Linked DNA regions of Drosophila melanogaster. The protein of the gene in region 1 interacts with the protein of each later gene in a pairwise test. Each region holds a gene or a part of one and is shown in the gene's direction. Other genes may lie near its edges. The genes, in order: CLIP-190, Alh and Atf3.

The links.
Region 2: the proteins of CLIP-190 (region 1) and Alh interact in a two-hybrid assay, tested with the Drosophila melanogaster proteins (one large-scale study listed by BioGRID).
Region 3: the proteins of CLIP-190 (region 1) and Atf3 interact in a two-hybrid assay, tested with the Drosophila melanogaster proteins (one large-scale study listed by BioGRID).

What each region holds. Positions count from the first base shown.
Region 1 is NT_033779.5:17,382,551-17,388,837, forward strand, and holds the start of CLIP-190 (cytoplasmic linker protein 190), read left to right. Parts: upstream 1-2,464; 5' UTR 2,465-2,945; intron 2,946-3,010; 5' UTR 3,011-3,080; coding exon 3,081-3,345; intron 3,346-3,595; exon of another isoform or gene 3,596-3,779; coding exon of another isoform or gene 3,780-3,843; intron 3,844-6,287. Other genes in the region: Lrch (Leucine-rich-repeats and calponin homology domain protein), read right to left, coding at 920-1,232. UniProt on the Drosophila melanogaster protein: Together CLIP-190 and jar may coordinate the interaction between the actin and microtubule cytoskeleton. May link endocytic vesicles to microtubules. May play a role in formation of furrows during cellularization.
Region 2 is NT_033777.3:7,120,499-7,126,848, reverse strand, and holds the start of Alh (alhambra), read left to right. Parts: upstream 1-2,663; 5' UTR 2,664-2,910; coding exon 2,911-2,945; intron 2,946-3,110; exon of another isoform or gene 3,111-3,209; intron 3,210-5,095; coding exon 5,096-5,574; intron 5,575-5,710; coding exon 5,711-5,907; intron 5,908-5,966; coding exon 5,967-6,350. Other genes in the region: CG10068 (uncharacterized protein), read left to right, coding at 1-77; CG10098 (uncharacterized protein), read right to left, coding at 704-1,430, 1,787-1,974, 2,043-2,189.
Region 3 is NC_004354.4:1,271,408-1,277,611, reverse strand, and holds the start of Atf3 (activating transcription factor 3), read left to right. Parts: upstream 1-2,327; 5' UTR 2,328-3,186; intron 3,187-6,204. UniProt on the Drosophila melanogaster protein: Transcription factor which binds to the cAMP response element (CRE).

The sequences.
Region 1 (6,287 bases):
ACAACTAACCTTATCTACGTATCCTTTCGCCTTTCAGAGCGTTTACTGTATGTGTATACAACAAACACAAGTGAAAATCGATGAGAGACATGTCCCGTTGTGAGAACATCTGTTCGAGGGTAGCAGCAGCTGTGAGAGGGGGCGGGGTCCTGCGAGAGGGCGGTGAATTTTCTGGGTGGGTATTTCCCATTTACTATTTCTCCGCTGGTGCATATTTTTTGGTCCTAACAAAAACGAAAGTTGGTTGAACTTCGACAAAATTTTCGTGCCGGCTGCGGCGAAAATAAAAATAAATAAGGATAACACGAATAGTGCAAAGTGGCGAAGAGCGAATAACGGCGGTAATTATTGTCCTTGAGCGCAGTCCGAAAAGGGAGAGAATGGGAGAGCCGCAGAGAGAAAGAGCAGCTGATGGGAGGACAGAAAAGGAGGAAAAGGATGAACCTCCGACGGCTGCTGCAAATTATTGATTTTCAAGCAACAAAAGGAAAATTCGCCACTGCAATGGAGATGGAAAAACTTCGTTAGCTCACCGGCAACAAACCTCCTTTGCTTAAATGCCGCACCCTAAAGGTATACACATACGCCAAACATTTTCGATAAGCAACTAATTTAATTGCTTTATCAGTACTTGTACATATGTAAACTCTACTTTTACTTTTTCTGACGTCAAAAGAAAACTTTATAACTAACAATTTTCTAATCAACTTTAATACCATTTAACTTTGTAATATAAAAATGTATGCTTTTTCCAATAAAATGTTATTAACTTCGTACATTAAGTATTATTAAGAACAGTTTAAACTTTACTTAGGAAGTAATGAAAACCCAATTTTTTCCGGAGCTACGAAACCGGCTTGAAGAACACCTTTTCTTTGTTCTCCCTTACGAATATACACTATACAATAGCGGTACGCACCTGCGATGACAGTGTCGGTAAGTGAGTACTTCGTTCCAGTCCTGGGAAAGTCCTTCAGCTTGCGATTGGTCAGGATCAGTTCGCCGCTGAAGTGCGCTTCTTCCAGGATTCTTTCCAGGGAGCGCGTCAGCTGGGAATGACTAAGCAGGGCAGACGAGGTGGAGGAGGAGGTGTTTCCAGCGTGGCCTATTCCAGATCCCGATCCTGTTCCAGATCCTGGAAGGGAAGCCGACCCGCTGCCGATGGCGCTGCCAGCGGCGCTGCCGACGCCGACTGCGACGCTATGTAGGCGTTGGTAAACCGTTGCTGCCATTTCCCGTGTAGGCGTGGCGACACTTCCACACACTTGCACACACACACGCACGCGCTAAACTATCACACCGATAAGGAAACGGAGTGAAGTGCCGAAAGAAACCGAAACTGGAAACTAAATTTGCTCTATTGAAACGCACGCATCTCGATTATTTTTCATTTAGTGTACGTCTTCTTGGCTCATTGATAAGATTTCTCGGAATTGGATTTTCCTTTTGCGGCTTCCTTCTTGCTTCCTCTTCTTTGCCTCCTCGCACACACGCGCACTCACACACGCACAAGCTCACGCAGCAGACGAGCGACAGTGCACAACGAAAATCGAAAAACAACTGAATCGGTTTATGGGATGCTACTTGGGCAGCGCTGGAAACGTTGCTGTTAGTTTAAAATCGGCGTGCCTTTGAGTACTATCGATAAAATACCACAGTGCGCCGATGATACACTGGCTCCATTTTTATCGCAATTCGAAATGTCAACAATCTTACATTTTATAATGTAATGTAATGTTTGTTTATTCAGAATGATCTACCGTTTAGCATTTGCCCCTTCAAATTTAGGGCATTATTAGATTACTGAGTCGTTATTACACCGAAACATTTCATATAACTACTTAAAGAAAAAATGAACAAATGACCAGGTAACCTGGTATTGGAACCCGGCAATAAACTGGTTGAATATTAAAAAACCATGTTAGACTAAATTATAAATTCGTTAATTTGTCAGTTGTGTGGGCTCAGATCACAAATCTGAATAAGCTCAGCGACGCTTCCATTATTGGTGACATAATTTCATATTTTACATATTTATATTCACGAATAAATATTCGCCAATTTCCTACAGGGTGTTTTTGTATGACCGCATTACTCTAAAAATACCTCGGGAAAATATAGCCGCAACTATCGATTGGCGCGCTGCACTGGAGCTGTGCTACCATCGCTAACTCAGTGCAACAACAAAATTCCAACGCAACGCCAACTAAGTGCAAAAAAAATCTAAAATTTGTGTAAAATTGTAAAATCCCAATCGCGTATATTTCTAAATCGTATTCGCACAGCACAGTATGTAAAGCACTCCAGTTTATTTAAGTACTGTGTGTGTGTGCGGTAAACACACACCAATAAGAGTGCGTTTTCGCGTCCCTTTTCCCACCCTCTTCTAATGGTTCCCTCTTCTATAACTGTGTCAAATCAGCAGCAACAATAAAATATAGAACAGAGCTACAGCGTGCGTGTGTGTGTGTGTGAAATGCACAAATTGATAAGCAATTTGATTCAATTTAATCTTGTTTAAGTCTGATGAATATCAGCGCAAGCAGCCCAACACAAAATTATAAATAAAAAGTTACGAATTTATATAAATAGAATACCCTTGAGTGATTTTGTTAGTCGCATAAAATTAATTCAATACATATTTGTGTTCCGCATTTTTTGAAAATATAACGAAGTTCTGGCCAACGAGAGCAACAACAAAAAGCGGTCTTGTTTGTTTTTCAAGCTCAACGAAAAAAAGAAGAAAAGAAATCTGCTCTCAGTCAGCTGTTTTAAAGCAGCCGCCTAAGTGCGAGTGAGATAGCTGCCTGCGCGCCAAAATAAAGCAACAACAAAAGTGGAACAGTGGTTCAAAACCTAGCTAAAAATAAAAAAAATCCATTTATTTTTGTAGCAAAAATATAAAATAAAAGCAAATTAAGCGAATTATACATATATTTGTTAAGGTAAGTGATCAGCATTCCATTTATTTTACCAAAAATTATTCTTTTGCACTTGTTTTTCCCCCAAGTTTTTTAAATCGTTTACTTTTAATACGCGTGTGTCCTAATAAGTGAAGATTATTAAGAATAAAGTAAAAAATGAGTGATGATACGAGCGCTTCGGGCGGGACAAGTGCCCCTTTTCCATCGCCAGTTACTGCGGACCCGGAACCAGGAGCCACTGCCTCCAAATTACCGGGTCCCATCAGATCCAATATTCCCACGCCCGCTACTTCTGGTACCGGAATCCCGCAGCCCAGCAAAATGAAGGCACCATCTAGTTTTGGATCGACGGGTTCTGTTTCCAAAATCGGAAGACCGTGCTGCAATCACACAACTCCCAAATCCGGTCCACCACCAAGAGGTAAGTCTAATCGCATTGTGCAACAACGCAAACCAGTTAGTATTATTGCTCAAAGCAAATATGTTACTAAGAGCAGTATTTTTGAAAGTAGTTAAAGGTCTTAATTATCCCCTGGGTTTAATTATCATCCATTTTACAAGCTAGAATTTAAAGCAAGATGAAATTAAAACACATCTGAACACCAATGGGAATTCAACCAGAGCCCCTTTGAAAATCTTGTCAGTGCATTGTCACATACATATTAACATCTTAACAAAGAACATTAATTTCACAATTCAAGAAAAGGGGTTTTTACCGATTTCCACTTTTATACGCGAGTTCTTCACTTATAAAACAGTTGGAAGAAGTCTGATAATTGAATTGCTCTCCGGAAAATATCGCAGTAAAATATGTTTCAATAGTATAGCCCACCACTATACTATCACCAAGTACTCATGAAGGTTAATATTAAAAAATGTACCCACATTCAAATGGGAAAACAGAAACCCAAAAAGAATGGTGAGTTTAAATAATGCACTTTTAAGTTTGACATTGTAAAGGGGTCATTTCATCAAGTTTACTTACTCTCTACCCTCAATACCCGAGATTTGACTACTTTTGTGTTTGCATCTTTGGCTCAAGCAAGTCAAGCATCCGCCTACATATATATATGTGCACCCACAAGATGTAGATTGCTGTATACTATAAGCGAATGCAATGATCTAATGGAAACGATGACAGACCCACTCACTTGCTAAATATATACATACATATACGCTGACCCCACCCCATTTGAGTGCACTTTTTGCACTACATTGAACTTGCAATTATTTCGGCGAGAACTCGCGTAGTTAGTGTAAATTCTTCTCTAAAGAGAAACCATTAATAATTCCCAGCGTCAACTGTTTCGTTTGGTAAACAAATGCTTCACTTCTTTCAATTATTTAATCGTTTTGAAACACCAACGCACAATTCAAAAATAAACAAAACAAATTGCCGCCCACTCTTAACTCTCGATCATAATTATAGAGCTGCCCCGAAAAGTGTTTTTGGTAAGGAGAATTATGGCCAATTAGGCAAGTGCTGCTACCATTTAATTGATCCGCCCAATGTGGCTCATTTCAGGCACGTAACCGCACCGCAGTCGTCAACATACGACGACCCACTGGCCCATATAGCAAACGATCTGCCAAACGATCCATGGATCGATTGACGGGTTTTCTATTTCGCCGGCACACACGTTCCATATCCGATTGACAGTCGCAATGCAACCGCAAAATCGTAGAAATTTATTCCCTGTAAATTTACCCAAAAACACAAAAATTTGTAATGTTTAGGGTTACAGAAAAAACTGAGTCACGAGGTGTATTTAATTTGCATCCATAGAAATAGTTTACACGGCGCTATGTGCACTGTGATCATTTAGATTATCACTTTGTATTAGATTGGTTTTGTAACTAGTTTGTTTGCCCATTTATACATTATTTTTAAAATCGTTTATTGGTCGTTTATTGCACATAATTATTAAACCTATTTCAGAAATTAAGCTGTTTGCTTGGCTCAATGAAAGTCCAGTTTGTTTTGATAGCTCCGAATTTTTTGCTTTAGTACATTTAAATTTCTACGCTGATTTGTTTCAAATACGCCAGTGTTGATCGCCATATCAAAGAGATTATTCCGCATTTTGCCAATTATTAACGAAAACGAAGTGATATACCGCATGTCCCAAATAGTTGAACTACTTTAGTCAATTAGTAGTTTATGCGACGCGCTGCTTAAAACCAAATCCGTTCCAAGCGCCTGAGCGCCTTGATCCGCTGCCCAGATCAGCTTTCTAAAATCTCTCCTAGCATTCTGGAACGGACTGTTTGACTATCTGCCAAGAGACCCGTCATTTGGCCCGCCATACTCAATGCCAAAAGTCTGCGAAAATCTACTCAGCTCAAATGCGACCGAGAAAACCTGGCGACCGGCCGGCAATCTATCTCTACGTCGTCGTTCCCTAATTGAATTTGTTCTGGCGATGACACAGAAAACGTACTCAAAACGTATCTTCTAGCTTGTTCGTGAGCTCAGATCTTTTGAGGTGTTTTTGCGCTGCGCATTTGATGCCGGGTTCCGTTCTCAGTCGATCTGATATGAAAATTGCGGTCGTGGTGCTCGTGGATGAGCTTATGTCACTTTTATTGGTTTCGATCGGAAACAAAAGTGAAGTGAGCCTCTCTCCCACCCATAAAAACGGAAAGCTCATTTGTCTTCGCATTAAGATTGAATCGAAAACGCGTTCGGGATTGACGTCCAATGGATGAGCATCGTCTGGCGGGGGATTACTCCATTCGATTCTAGATTGAGCCCAGTTCTGTTTACATCACCGACTCCGTGGGAGAGTCAATATTGATGTTATGATTAACCACTTTTTGTCTCACTTATTTGACTTCACATCATTAAGTCGTTGAAATCTTTATAATTGAAGACACGTGTTGCATATTTAAGCTGAAAACGTCTCGGGTTTCAGCCAACAGAAAACAGTATCTTCTCTTAAAAGGAATATATATACATATTCGATTTGATAAGTTATGTATTTGTTATAGTTTAGAAAATTTTATTAAATACGTGTTTCAATATTTCAATGCGCTTTTTTGTGCATTGTCTTAAAAGCTGATTCATAGATGAATCTAAAGATAATTGATTCTGATTAACTGGCATTTAGTCTCTGGAATTCATTGTTACAATCTCGTCAAGCAATTCTTAAATTGTTTTCCTACGTGTAAACTTTATATATAATTAGACACAACCCGGCGTTTAAAAACTTTATCGAATCTTTCAATAGCCACTTCAAACATCTTTAAAGAAAAAATAATAATTTTCCAAAACTTACATACTTTTTTATAATAAATTTCACTGCTTATAAATATTTATATTTTATGAAATATATAAGGTCACATAAGATTTCTTCCAAGTCG
Region 2 (6,350 bases), on another chromosome or scaffold:
TTGAAATTACAAAACTAGAGGCCTTGCACAATGATAGCACTATTTTTAAGACCAATTTGGTTGTAGAATCCGTCTAAAAACACGAATAGGTCAATTAATGTGAAAATGAATTTGTATCTCGCTGTATCTGAATAATTTCTAACTCTGACGATATTGGGAATTGATTGAATCAGATCAGGCTGACCATTTTTGTAAATACATGTTTAGAGTGGGGCTAAATAAAATAATTATCTTGTCATTTTTCAATTTAAATTATCAATTCATTTCGCTTCTAAATCACTTTGTAATAAAAAAAAAAGGAATCCTAAAATAAGTATCCAAATACGACAAGCCCTTTTAATTTTTGTATAAATGCAGATTTTATGCGTTTATTTGAGAGCCATATATAATGTATATTTGTATATGTATTCATATATATTTGAATGCAAGTATGTAAATCGTTAAACTAAGCCTGGAATGTCACACAATAATACTTTAAATTCAAGTCGGAGATTGCCCACTGAGACAGAATAAATAATAATTTAAATATCACGCAAAAGCATAAAAACTAAACGAAATAAAATCAGTAGAGATTGCACAAGAAAATATTTTGACGACTAAAGCCTATTTGGTAATGCCATAAGAATGCTCAAGTCAAATCCCGATGCTCAATAGAGCTTGCAAGCTAGTTTTTGGAGTATCCATATAGATAGTATTCGTTGGTCTAGCGATAGAACTTGACTTCCGCCTCGACACAGTCCTTGAGCAGTTCGTCCAGCTCGTCACTGGCGTGATCCTGCAGAGAGAAATAGTTATTTAGCTCGTCCACGCAGGAGAGCTCCAAGCTGCGCAAGTGCTCCAAGGCGGCCGGCTTGCGTTGCGAGTGTAGCTTGTGCAGCAACGTCAAGTCCGCTTCCGCTTGCACTTGGGTTAGCGGCGAGATCCTCGGATTTGGGGCAAAAACGAACGGCTTAAACACAGACTCGGCGGCATTGGGCGTCCCGGTGAACCAATGGCATGAGATTCCCTTCACCGACAGCACCGAAACGGTAGCCGCCCTCGAGCTGCTCGCATTACTGGCGGATCGCAGCGTCTCGAACATGTCGTGCTGGGTATATGTTCCATCGCCAGCTGGCTTGGGACCACACCAATCCACTGCCGGGGCCTGGGCCTCTGCATCGTGAGCAGCGGCAAAACTGGCAGCGTCATCTAATCCCTCGCTTGACTTGTTCACCACAGTGGTCACAGCCAGTCCTCCGGAGGGCAAACGCAAGAAGCTGGCCTCCAATTTCTCAGCGGCCCATACCTTGCCAGAGCAACTCACAAGCCAGGCAGCAGCTGCATCGCAAGCGATGAAGTTTAGTTTGGAGTTGTCGTGACCGTGACTGGCCACCAAAGCTCCAATCCGGTCTACAGCATCGTCCACATCTTTGGCGACAGCCAAAGTCAAGCTACAAAAAAGTTATTAGATGATTTATTATTTCATGATTTATAATAATTGTAAAAGCCTTAGTTTCTCGACAACATTAAATTTCTGATTGATTCGTTTTTAATTAACTTATGAAATAATGTTGAAATAATAGTATCTTCAAGCATTAATAAGCCCTAAAGGACACGAAAGGATTGGAATGCTAATTACAAACATCAGCCACAAAATGTCATCCTTTGAATAAGTATTTACGTTCTGCATTATATAGACTTCATATGTACATACATTTTTAGTGATGAAAGTTATTTATATTAAGTGCAAATAATTTGCTTTGTTGTGCATAGTTTGTTGATACGCAGATATTGAAAGAGAACTTACCGCACTATATCCGTGCCCAGCAGGCTGTCGCTGTCCTTGGCCTCGTTTTCACCTGCCGCCCAGGTAAGACCTAGGGCCACTCCGCGTTCATTGGCCCCGAAGTCCCCACCCCAGAGACCCGGCTGCGGTTTTTGCAATATAACACGCAACATATCGCCGCCTGTCTCGGCAGAAGCTCCACCGTCAGTCTGAAATGTGAGGTGTTTGGGTGGTGAGTCATTGATCGAGCTTCGTTTTCGGAGGAGTCTGTCTTTACCTTCCCCTCAAGCACTTCGGTGGCATCGTAGAAGCAAACCTCCGAAGCAACGTTGACGTTTTTTTCGTCCTCCGCATTGCGACCGATGATCAAAGTTCCTTCGGCACAGTTCTCGGGCAGAACAACAAAGCAGTCACCGTTGGTCATTTTTATCCGTGCTTTTCTCGCGAAGAAGTTTCTTCAGAAGTGCGCGAGGGAGTTGCAAAATTGATTTTTCCCACAGCTGTTTAAGGTTCAAACGTTATTCAACACTGCCCAATATATATCGTGGAAATGAACCGTGGCGATGAGCCGTTGACTCGTCTGGCAACATCGGACGTTATTTATTTGTTTAGTATGGAGAATTCTAAAAGAACTATAAGGATTAGGTATTTTAGTGTTCTATATATAAAATATTTCCTTATACATCTCCATTATTTAAATGACGAGCATTAATGTTGACAATACTATGATCCAACACCAATAAGAATTCGATTTACTTAAATTACAACCTTCATTTACACCATAATTAGCAGCATTGAATAAGAGAGGGAAGTTATAATGAATATCGGGTTTTCCTTTGAATCTGGAAAAATGCAGACAAGTCGCATCCCATCTCTAAGCATTTTACCCTTCTCTGATAAAGTACCCATCGCTAGAAATCTGCCCATTCGTCTGGTAACCGAGGTTTTTCTTGTTTCGGCGTTAAAATGCTCAAAAACCTGTCTGCATAGAAGGAAAACGCGGAACGTCTCGGAATTGCAAGCTTTTCGCGATATTCGGGCAATTGGAAAAACCGCGCATCCAGCAAAATTGTATCCACTAAGCTGCATTTGTATACAGAGCAGGTGGTGTTGTCTCCCTCTCGCGCCCGCACTGCTCGCTCCCGATGTGCGAGCGAAACAACAACAAACAAGTTACAAGGTGTGTGGAGTGGTGTGTGCTGCTGGTGTTGTTGTAGCTGTAGTTGTAAATACTCGCGCACACAGTGTTGTTGTTGCGCTGGTGGATGGTGTTGTTCAGCGCCTTTTTTGAGTGTTGATTATTTTACTTGCGTGCGTTTGCTACTCGTGGGCGGCTGTGAAGACTGTGAGACGCGGAAAAGTGCTGAGAAAAGCCACGAAAAGCTAGATAAACGCTAACCCACAGCTGCGGGCTGGAAACCATTTATTTAAAGTGCCAAATTGGGTAAAGAAATTTAGAAAATCAATATTCTGTGAGGGTGCTAGCGGCCAATAAGAAACCTCTGCGTGAAAATAGCAAGAAAGTCGAAAGAATTTCAAGTTTTCGATAGACCGCTCCCTGAAAAAAATAGATATTTTCTGTTTTTGTTGTGCGTTGCTTGACGACTTTGACCGCGCGCATTTTCCCCGCCGTGAAACTAGTTTCTTTTTGTTTGGTGGCACACCGCTGATGACGTTTTAAAGCCCTGCTGGCCAGTGAAATTAAAGCAATTGCCCATAAAAATCAATAAATTCAAGCCACGGGTATACACACAATTTGAAGGAAATTTAAGCAGTGCTTTAAGAGACGAGTTGCGGAAACTGGGAGAAACTACCCTCCAGTCCCCAAAAACTCCCCCGAAGGATGTTTTAAATGGGGTACATATATACATGTACACACACCCACCCGTATTCCACCCCCCAAAAGCGCGCCCCCTTTTCCGGCATTTCGTCAACATTAATGTAGCATCTCCCCGCGTGCGTGTGTATGTATCTGTTCTGCCTGACGACAGTGTGTGTTTGCTTGTGTCGAAAGTGCATTGCTCTTCATTACAAAAGCAACGTGCAGAGCGGCCTCGTTTCATATGGCCAAGTGTGTGTGATTTTACACCGTTAAGTTAGAGAACTCCAGCTAACCCGCTGTTGGCAACACGCTGGCTGCGTTTTTCTTTTTCGGCAGTTGGCAACACGCTGACCCAATAACGGTACAACTAGACCCGCACTCTCCTCCGCCGCGATCTCTCGCACAGATGCGCATGCATGAATGAAACAGAAACAGCACCCGCATGCCGTTATTATTATTATTATAATAATTGCCGTTGTTGTTGTGAAATCTCCGCGACCCACATATTTGCGTTCGATCGCACATTGGGACCAAATCGACATCCAATTGGATTCGGGGCAGGGCTGCATTTTCCTGTTTTATTTTTGGTAGCCCATTTAAATCAGGTTCAATGAACCAACACCAGCCCACGGAATGCCGCAGAAGAGAGTGTTTGTGTGTGCGTTGCCCGTTTTGTGAAAGTTAAAAATATTTGTTGTTCGTATTGCTGTGCTAAAACCTCCTATCAATATTCGGTGGCATAGCTGTTTATATTTTCGGCCGTCTTTATTTAAATGATTCGACATACATAATTAGCATGTATTATTAAGCAGCGGCAAAATTACCTTGACATTGAGAGATTATTTGTGTGTGCGTGTAAATGTTCTGCGAACGGGGCTCCATGTGCCATCTCTCTCGCTCTCGCTTCGAAGGCCAAGTTGTAAATACAAGCGCACAATTAGGTATAATATTTTATAGGGCTACTGTTTTTGTTGATGTTATTGTGGAAAAACCGAGTGCGAATGACCTTGCCAATAGACACCTGCCTCGATAGCAGCATATTATCGATAACGAGAAAGGCCGGAACCTCTATCTCAAGATCGTCGACTTCGAGCGGGGTGGAGCGGAGCTCTGATAAAAAATGTTTTATATAGACTCTACGTTCTTTAAATTATTACAAAAATGTGAAAGAAAAAAGTAAAGAGCATGCTTATTTTCTTGATAAGGAAAGCTGAACAAATAAATTTCTTATAAATTTTACTGCTAATTCCATACAAATTTGGTAAAAAGTCGTTGTTTTTATTAGAAATACTATTACAAATAAAATTCAGAAGATTCGTAAGTGCATCATACTTATGTATGTTCAACTTTTCGCTCAACTTTCAACGCTCCTCTGGTAACGTTAATTGGACCCAAATATATTGAGTTTTAAAAATCCTCTTTTTACTTAAGGAAAATTCTTATATTATATATATATATATATATATATATATATATATATATATATATATATATATATATACTTGCAGCTCCAACAAAATTCCGTCTTCATTCAATGCGAAACTGGAGCTAGACTCCAGCAAAGACGACACCATTCACTCCACAAGCTTGAACAAGAAGCTGGTCAAGATTAAAAAGTTCAAGTTGGACGATATGAAGGAGATGGTGGGCGGCTGTTGCGTTTGTTCAGACGAGCGGGGGTGGCCGGAGAACCCGCTCGTCTACTGTGACGGCCAGAACTGTACTGTGGCAGTGCACCAGGCGTGCTATGGCATTGTGACGGTTCCCACTGGACCCTGGTACTGTCGCAAGTGCGAGTCCCAGGAGCGAACCTCTCGCGTCCGATGCGAACTATGTCCCTCGCGGGATGGCGCCCTTAAGAAGACGGATAATAGCGGGTGGGCGCACGTTGTTTGCGCCCTGTACATCCCAGAGGTGCGATTTGGGAATGTGACCACCATGGAGCCCATCATATTGTCATTAATACCGCAGGAGCGGTACTCGAAGAGTAAGCTATGTTTAAATGTTTTATATTTACATATATTATTTAAAAAATGTTACTCATTGAAAAATTATAACCCCTGTTTGTTAAACTAGCCTTAGCTAAATGGCAATAATTAATTACAATCCGTTTCCATTTTCAGCTTGCTATATTTGCCAGGAAATTGGCAAACCAAATCGTGCCAATGTTGGCGCCTGTATGCAGTGCAACAAATCGAATTGCAAGCAGCAGTTCCACGTCACCTGCGCCCAGAGCCTTGGATTGCTCTGCGAGGAGGCTGGTAACTATCTGGATAATGTGAAGTACTGCGGCTACTGTCAGCACCATTACAGCAAACTGGTGCGTATGTGAGGGATAGCATTCGTGATTTTTCCGTTCAAATTCTTGATACTTTGCAGAAAAAGGGCGGCAACGTCAAAACAATACCTCCATATAAACCCATTCAACATGACACCTCTTCCGATTCGTGTTCGTCGCCCGAGAAGGAGATCGATTCAACCATGAACTCCGCGACAACTTCGGCCACAATCATAAAGATTACCAGCAGCAGTGGCAGTGCTGGTGGCAGCAGCAATGTTTTGAATGCAAGCTCCAGTGCTGGAATCTCTGCTGGAAGCAGCAGTGGGAGTGGCGTATCATCTTCCGCAAAGCAGCGCAAGAGCAATGCATCAAGTAAATCATCTAGCAGCAGTAGCAGTAGCTCGTCATCCTCAACAGGAGGGGCTCCCAACCCCTCCTCGAGTTCTGTGCATTCGGGAAGTGCTAGCAATATGACAGGAGGA
Region 3 (6,204 bases), on another chromosome or scaffold:
CGTTCCTTGTTCCCTTACATAACACAATTCAGTAATTCATTAAGGCAAAGCTTTGGCTGTAAATGCGAGTGCAGCAACAACTGACAACTCAAATTGTCGTCCAGGGAGAGTTGGATGAGCGGGGAACCTAACCCCAACCCCAAGCCCGACTGCACACCCACACACGCACATGGCTGAGCTTCTCCCACTGCAGTTGCGAGGTGCGAACAGGCGCACAGCGGCCACAGAAACGTCGCTTGTAATCTTCGCTGTGCCCACTCGGTGTGGGAAAGCTACATATGCATGTATATGTATGGACGTACATACAAGTGCGGTCCACTCGGAGGCCGGTGGGTACTATGGCGCGCAAGTGACTAGCAGCAGTGTGGATGGGCTTGGTAGAAACAAATGTAAAATTTATGAATGTGTTCGCTTTTATGGAAATTTCAAGGACAAGCTATTAATGCCTAGTTTTGCTCGGTCACGAAAGAGAGTCCTATTGGATCGAACTCCACTGTGCTCCGCCAGGCACTTTCATTGGGGCAATTTTTGGCACGCTTCGGACGGCGCAGATGCTGCATCAATTTCCATATGCCACCGCACCACCGTTGCGAGCCCGAACCCCAATGCCTGCCAGTACCCCCGCAATACCAACCCGACGTCCATGTGCTCGCCCGCGCCGTTTGGCACTTTTTAATGCTCATTTTATTCCTTTATAAATTCGCTATTAGATGCCAACAGCGACGACGGCGAGATAGAACTTTTCTGTGTTGCTTCCAACACTCGTATTTTCTCAAAGCTGTTGTGGCTATTGCTATTGCTTTTGCTATTGTTGCTTTTGGCTTTATTGGAGCCCGCTGGCCAATCGGCGAGCAGGTGACGAGATCGTCGGCGAATGGGGTCCGCGTATGATGCGAGTCAGGCTCTATTTTTAGAACACACTGTACATTCAGGGGGCCGAAGGCGGACGAGTCCACACGAAGCGCCACGAAGCTTTCGCTTTTCGCCGCTCTTTCGGCGGTCGCGTGGAAACGTGAGTGGGACAAACAAAGTGAGTGAGGAACGGAACGGAATGACATGAAACATAAACACAGCCGGTTGGCAGTGCCCTCTCTCTCACCATCGGACTCTCTCTTTTCCTCTCTCTCTCTCTCTCTCGCCAGCAGCTTGAGCATTTGTTATTGTTTTCGTGTGCTATTGTAGCCGGCGTTTTTTGCCGGTGCTTAAATCTCAATCGGACATTTCCATTGCAAAGGCGATTGGATATTAAGAAATGGCCTTACACCTTCTTGCAACCCCTTCCACTTCTTCCTTTTGGCCAAGTTGAGCTAGTCACGTCTGTCTTTTGCCACCTTTTCATGCACCGTTAGCTGATAACCGATAGCCGATAACGGATAACGGTGGCTTCCTTATCACAGTCCATGAGCTGTGGACTTTTATGCAACAATTACATACGAGTATGTTAACAAATGTGTGGCTATAGGCCTCCTTAAATTTATTTCGATCGTGTAAGCCAAGCTCAGTTTTCAGATCGTGCAACTCAGTCGGTTGCGCATGCCTTCTAAGCTCCAAAGAGAGTGAGCGAAGGACTGAACATAAGCATTTTCAAGGTCACGGCGCCGCTGTCGACGTCGCTGCATTTGAAATGCTAGTGTGCATGAGTGTGCACAGCGATTCCGATTCCAAACGTTCCGCAAGTGACAGTGAAATGGGTGGCGTGGGAGGTGGTTAGTGTTTAGTGGCTGGTCGGTCACAAGATTCCCTGCTCAATGCGCCGGCTCAAAGGCAAAATGTACCATTTGATAAGTAGTCGTTGCTTCGCAAATTTCCCCACCTACCCAAATTCTTCTGCCTTCTTGGCCGAAGCTTTGTGGCTTTTGCTTTCGGCTCTGCTTCCAGACAAAAGCCGACTAGTGTAGAGCAGCCAAACACTCGCACTCGCACACATACGCGTTCAATTTTCGGATATCTACGCTACTGTTCCGTTTCCACTTCCAAAAGTCAGTTGCGTCCGATAATGAGGGGTTTTACATTTAGTACACTTGCTGTGGAATCTATGAACGCTGGGCGGATGTCGGTGTCCAATCCAAATGTATCTTGCAGATGTAAGGGATAACTCATCTTAACTGTATAATTGTTGAGTAATATTTCATCGTAGTTGCAATGTGTACATATATCAGTTTATATCGTGGCCATACCCCCTTGAGCATTCACCATGTGGATGTAACAACGCCCCTGGGCAATGTTTGTGGTGCGTTTGTTTATTTGTTTGCCGCAGCCCGTTGCCAATCGTTCCGCCGGTCCGTCGGGCCGTCAAAACGGCGCGTCGGTCGGTTGGCAGTGCTTCGCGTCAACCGGACTCGAACGCAACGCCGCCACAGCGAGCCGACGCTCCACCAACCCACCCTTTTCCGCTCCACCCCGTTTCACAGGCACAGCCACATCCACATCCACTGACACTGGCACTGCCGTTCTTATTAGATTTTATGGCGGCTCCGACTTAGAACACAAACAACAAGCACAAGCACAGCACATCGACGGTCGGTCGGTCGGCCGCGCCTTTGGCCGTTTCAGTTGCCATCCGTTTCTTCGTTCTCGCGCCGTTAGAATCGCACTGTGGCGCAGTCGCTCCTCTGCCGACGTCGCTGCCGCTGGCTGACTTATTGGCTTTAAGCGAATTTGAACGTCGCTCGAACTTTTATTCAACGTGTTGGATTCATCGTGTGAGCAACTCTGAATCGCTACAAATGCGCAGCGGAAACTAAAAACTGAAATACACAAACCAAAAACACAAATCGAAAATACAAAATCCCCCTTAAAAATACAAACTAAGCCCCCCAAAAAAAATCCGCGATACGCAAGTGTTAAATGCGATATTGAAGAAAAACGTACATAGTAATACATATAATTAATATCGCCTTAAAATCTAAGAGATTTAATAATATTTTTTTGAAGTGTTGAACCCATTAAGTGCTTTAAACGACAACAACAACAACAACTACCAAAATGCCTTGCAAAAGCATCACGCTTTAGTGGTACAAAACCAAGTGTTACAAGTCCCCCCACCCTTTTCGCAAAGACCCCATTCAAAACTGATAGCAAGGGAGGCCCAAACAGGTGTCCGCCTGCCGAAAGGCCAACGAAACGCACCAGCGACAATCAGATGGGCAGAACTGCTCTTGGAGCGAGAGAGAGATTTTCCAGCAGGTGAGACACTGAACCCTAAATTATCCACCTCGACCCTGCCCCAAGTACGTGACTTTCCTCACACATTTGCGCACACTATCGCAAACTGACCGCAAGCAAACAAGGTCTTCGATCCCCCAAACGATATTGCCATCTCTCGTGACTAGAAAAGTTTCCCCGATTGAGGGAACAGTGACCAAAGGTCCCTTGCTGGTCAGGGTGGAGTTCGCGAAGACGTAACACCCATTGAAATCCCCACGAACCTGAATACATTCGTCGGGAATACTCAACTCAAGTACCCACATATCGTTTTGGATTTCGCATTTCACCGATTCATTGGCTCTATTGATAATGAAAGTAAATACGAGCGAGGTATTCGTTGCGCGTAGAATCATTCATTTCTTAATAACCACACTAAAAGACAACTCATTGATTGAACTCCGAAGATGTTAGTTTGTAATGAATGATAGATAGCACAGACATGAGTTTTTATTTCCCATTTTAGTAGACCAGATAAGGCGTGGGTAAAGTGTGAAACATATTCAATCAAATATCCAAATGCTAAATACAAAATGTGCAAGCAATTTCACCGAAGAAGGCACACAGGCACTGGGGCTAACAGGTGTTTTCCCTCTTTCATCCGTTCGCTGGCTTTTATTAATCAGCTGCTGTGCTGCAGGCGCACACAGATTCGCACACGTGCACAGGCAGTCGCAGATAGCCAAATGCTATAGATACAGATACAGCCATCGCCAATTGGATTTATGGACAATTTGGCGAAATATTTTGCCGCCCTCCCTTGCATGATGCATTCATTAATAAATGTTTTTTTTTATGTTCAACCCCGGCCATTACTGCCCCACCCTGCCAAGTGGTGTACTGGCGGACTAGTCGCCACCCCTTTGGAATTCTGGCCTCGCAATCCGAAGGACTTATCCCAAATCGTGTTGCCAGTTGCGCATTTTATCGCCAGCAAATTTATGCCATAGAATTGCGGAATATGCCACACCCCAGTCTGGGGCAACCCCCTCGTTGGATATGGGGGGTTGTGCCAAAGGACTGCCCCATGTACAGTGCGTACAATGTGCACGCTCTGTGCCACAGAGTCACAGAGCCACGGAGCGAGTGCCAGTGAATGAGCGATGAATGATGCCCATTGTTGGCAGTTCGCTACAACAGCCGACAGTCGAAGACGCAGTAGATACAGTAACTGTCAAAGGGGGAGGAGGAACTGGCTGGGAGGGGTCTAATGTTCCAAAAAAGAAAAAAAAAATGAAAGAAAAACAGAACCAAGATGTTTGGGACATGTGTGATCACTGAAAAAAAATCAATGGGCCTTGTATTATTATTGTTAATTGTATTCATCTTGTATTCACTTCATACAATGATGAAATAAGTTATTAGGCATTTTGTTTTTTAATTAAACACATTTAGAGCTAAAAGAATGCACAGTTTTCTTCTGGCCCTTGAGCCATTTTTCCGAGTGTCTGAGATCCACTTCTGTTCACAAAAGAGAGACAGCTGGAAAGACAGTCGGCTAACGCCCAAATGGCGTTTTAAGCACATAGTGCGCATTAATGAACCCCGGACTGAAGCTGGAAGTCTGGGAGTTGGGCTTAGTTTATGGCCTTGCCAGCCAACGAAACGGAGCCGCCGAGCAGCCAACCATATAGCATATACATATGTACCATCCATGCCATCCCAATCCCAATTTTCAGCTAGTCAAGTCAGTCGCTGCCATCCCCGAATACGAATACAAAATCCATTCGATGCGAGCGGAGGTAGCTGTCAAAAGTTGCGGCGAGCGACACAAAACTGTCAGGCGTTTTCGTGAATAATTTCCACAAAAACGTATGAATGCAAGCACATGTGTGCTCCCAAAGCAATGAAAATTGTCACCGCAAGCAAATACAAATACGAGAACCCCCTCGAGTCCCCCTCGTTTGGCAGTGCGCAATGCAAGCGGCAAATGTAAACATTTCATCAGATTTGACCAATACTATATGTATGTACATATATGCTATATAGCAAACATGCACTGATGAGGGACGGAGGTGTGGGAATGGCATCAACAAGTAAGCCCCCATGGAACCCGGTGGAATCTAGGTGGACCATTCCCCCTTCCATACGCTGCTATAAGGATGTTCAGACAGCTCCACAGGTGCACTGTTCCCAGTTGTTCCCAAGTACATGAAACTATCAGGTAGTTGTTCTATGCGCAGTAGCCCCAAGCCAACCGAACGCAACTGAAAATGCCGGCGTGTAATCGTCGGATGAAGGGTGGTAACCAGCGAGGCCCGCATTCGTCGCATTCGACTGGCAATCAGCTTAATTTGTTCAATTCACTTTTGGGCAAATTGATTAGCCAATTGATGCTCGCACTTAGAGTCTAGCCCTCGCTGCGATTCCCGTTTTCAATCGCAATTCCCAATATAATTCCCGATTCGATGCCGGCTCGCCTACGCGCTTTCTTCGCCCGTTTGGATATTTGTTGAAATTTCGTATGCATTTTGATTTGCTAACGAGTATTTATACATTTATTTATATATTTACTTCGTTCCAAATAAGTGTTAGTTGCTTTTGGGGAGAGAGGGATGGATGGGAGCGGATGGGCATGGGAGTTAGAGCTTGGCCAAAAGCCAAACCGGTTTGCCATTTGTCAACTTGTCGACAGTCCAAAATGCGAAGCCGTAAAAGCTTCACAAATAACAATTCTTTTCAAATGATACCGAAAAAGAAGCAGCAGGAGAGTAAAGAGAGAAAATACTAGAATAACTAGAGTTAGAGACTATTTCACAGATTCGAGTTCGAAGATTCTAAGATAAGAAGATCGTATTGTTAAGAGTATCTATCATCAGCAATCCAAGTTTCACTATCCAGAACAGCTTTCGTTGGGAAAGTTGGGGCCGATTATTCCAAGGATTTACCAATTTTCCCAAAAATGTTTGCGTATAGCCTTTGCCCTAACCTCTCCTTGGCCCCTTCAACCGCGCCCCAACCACCCGCCTCTCTTTGCGCTCCATTCCCCGCATTCCCCAT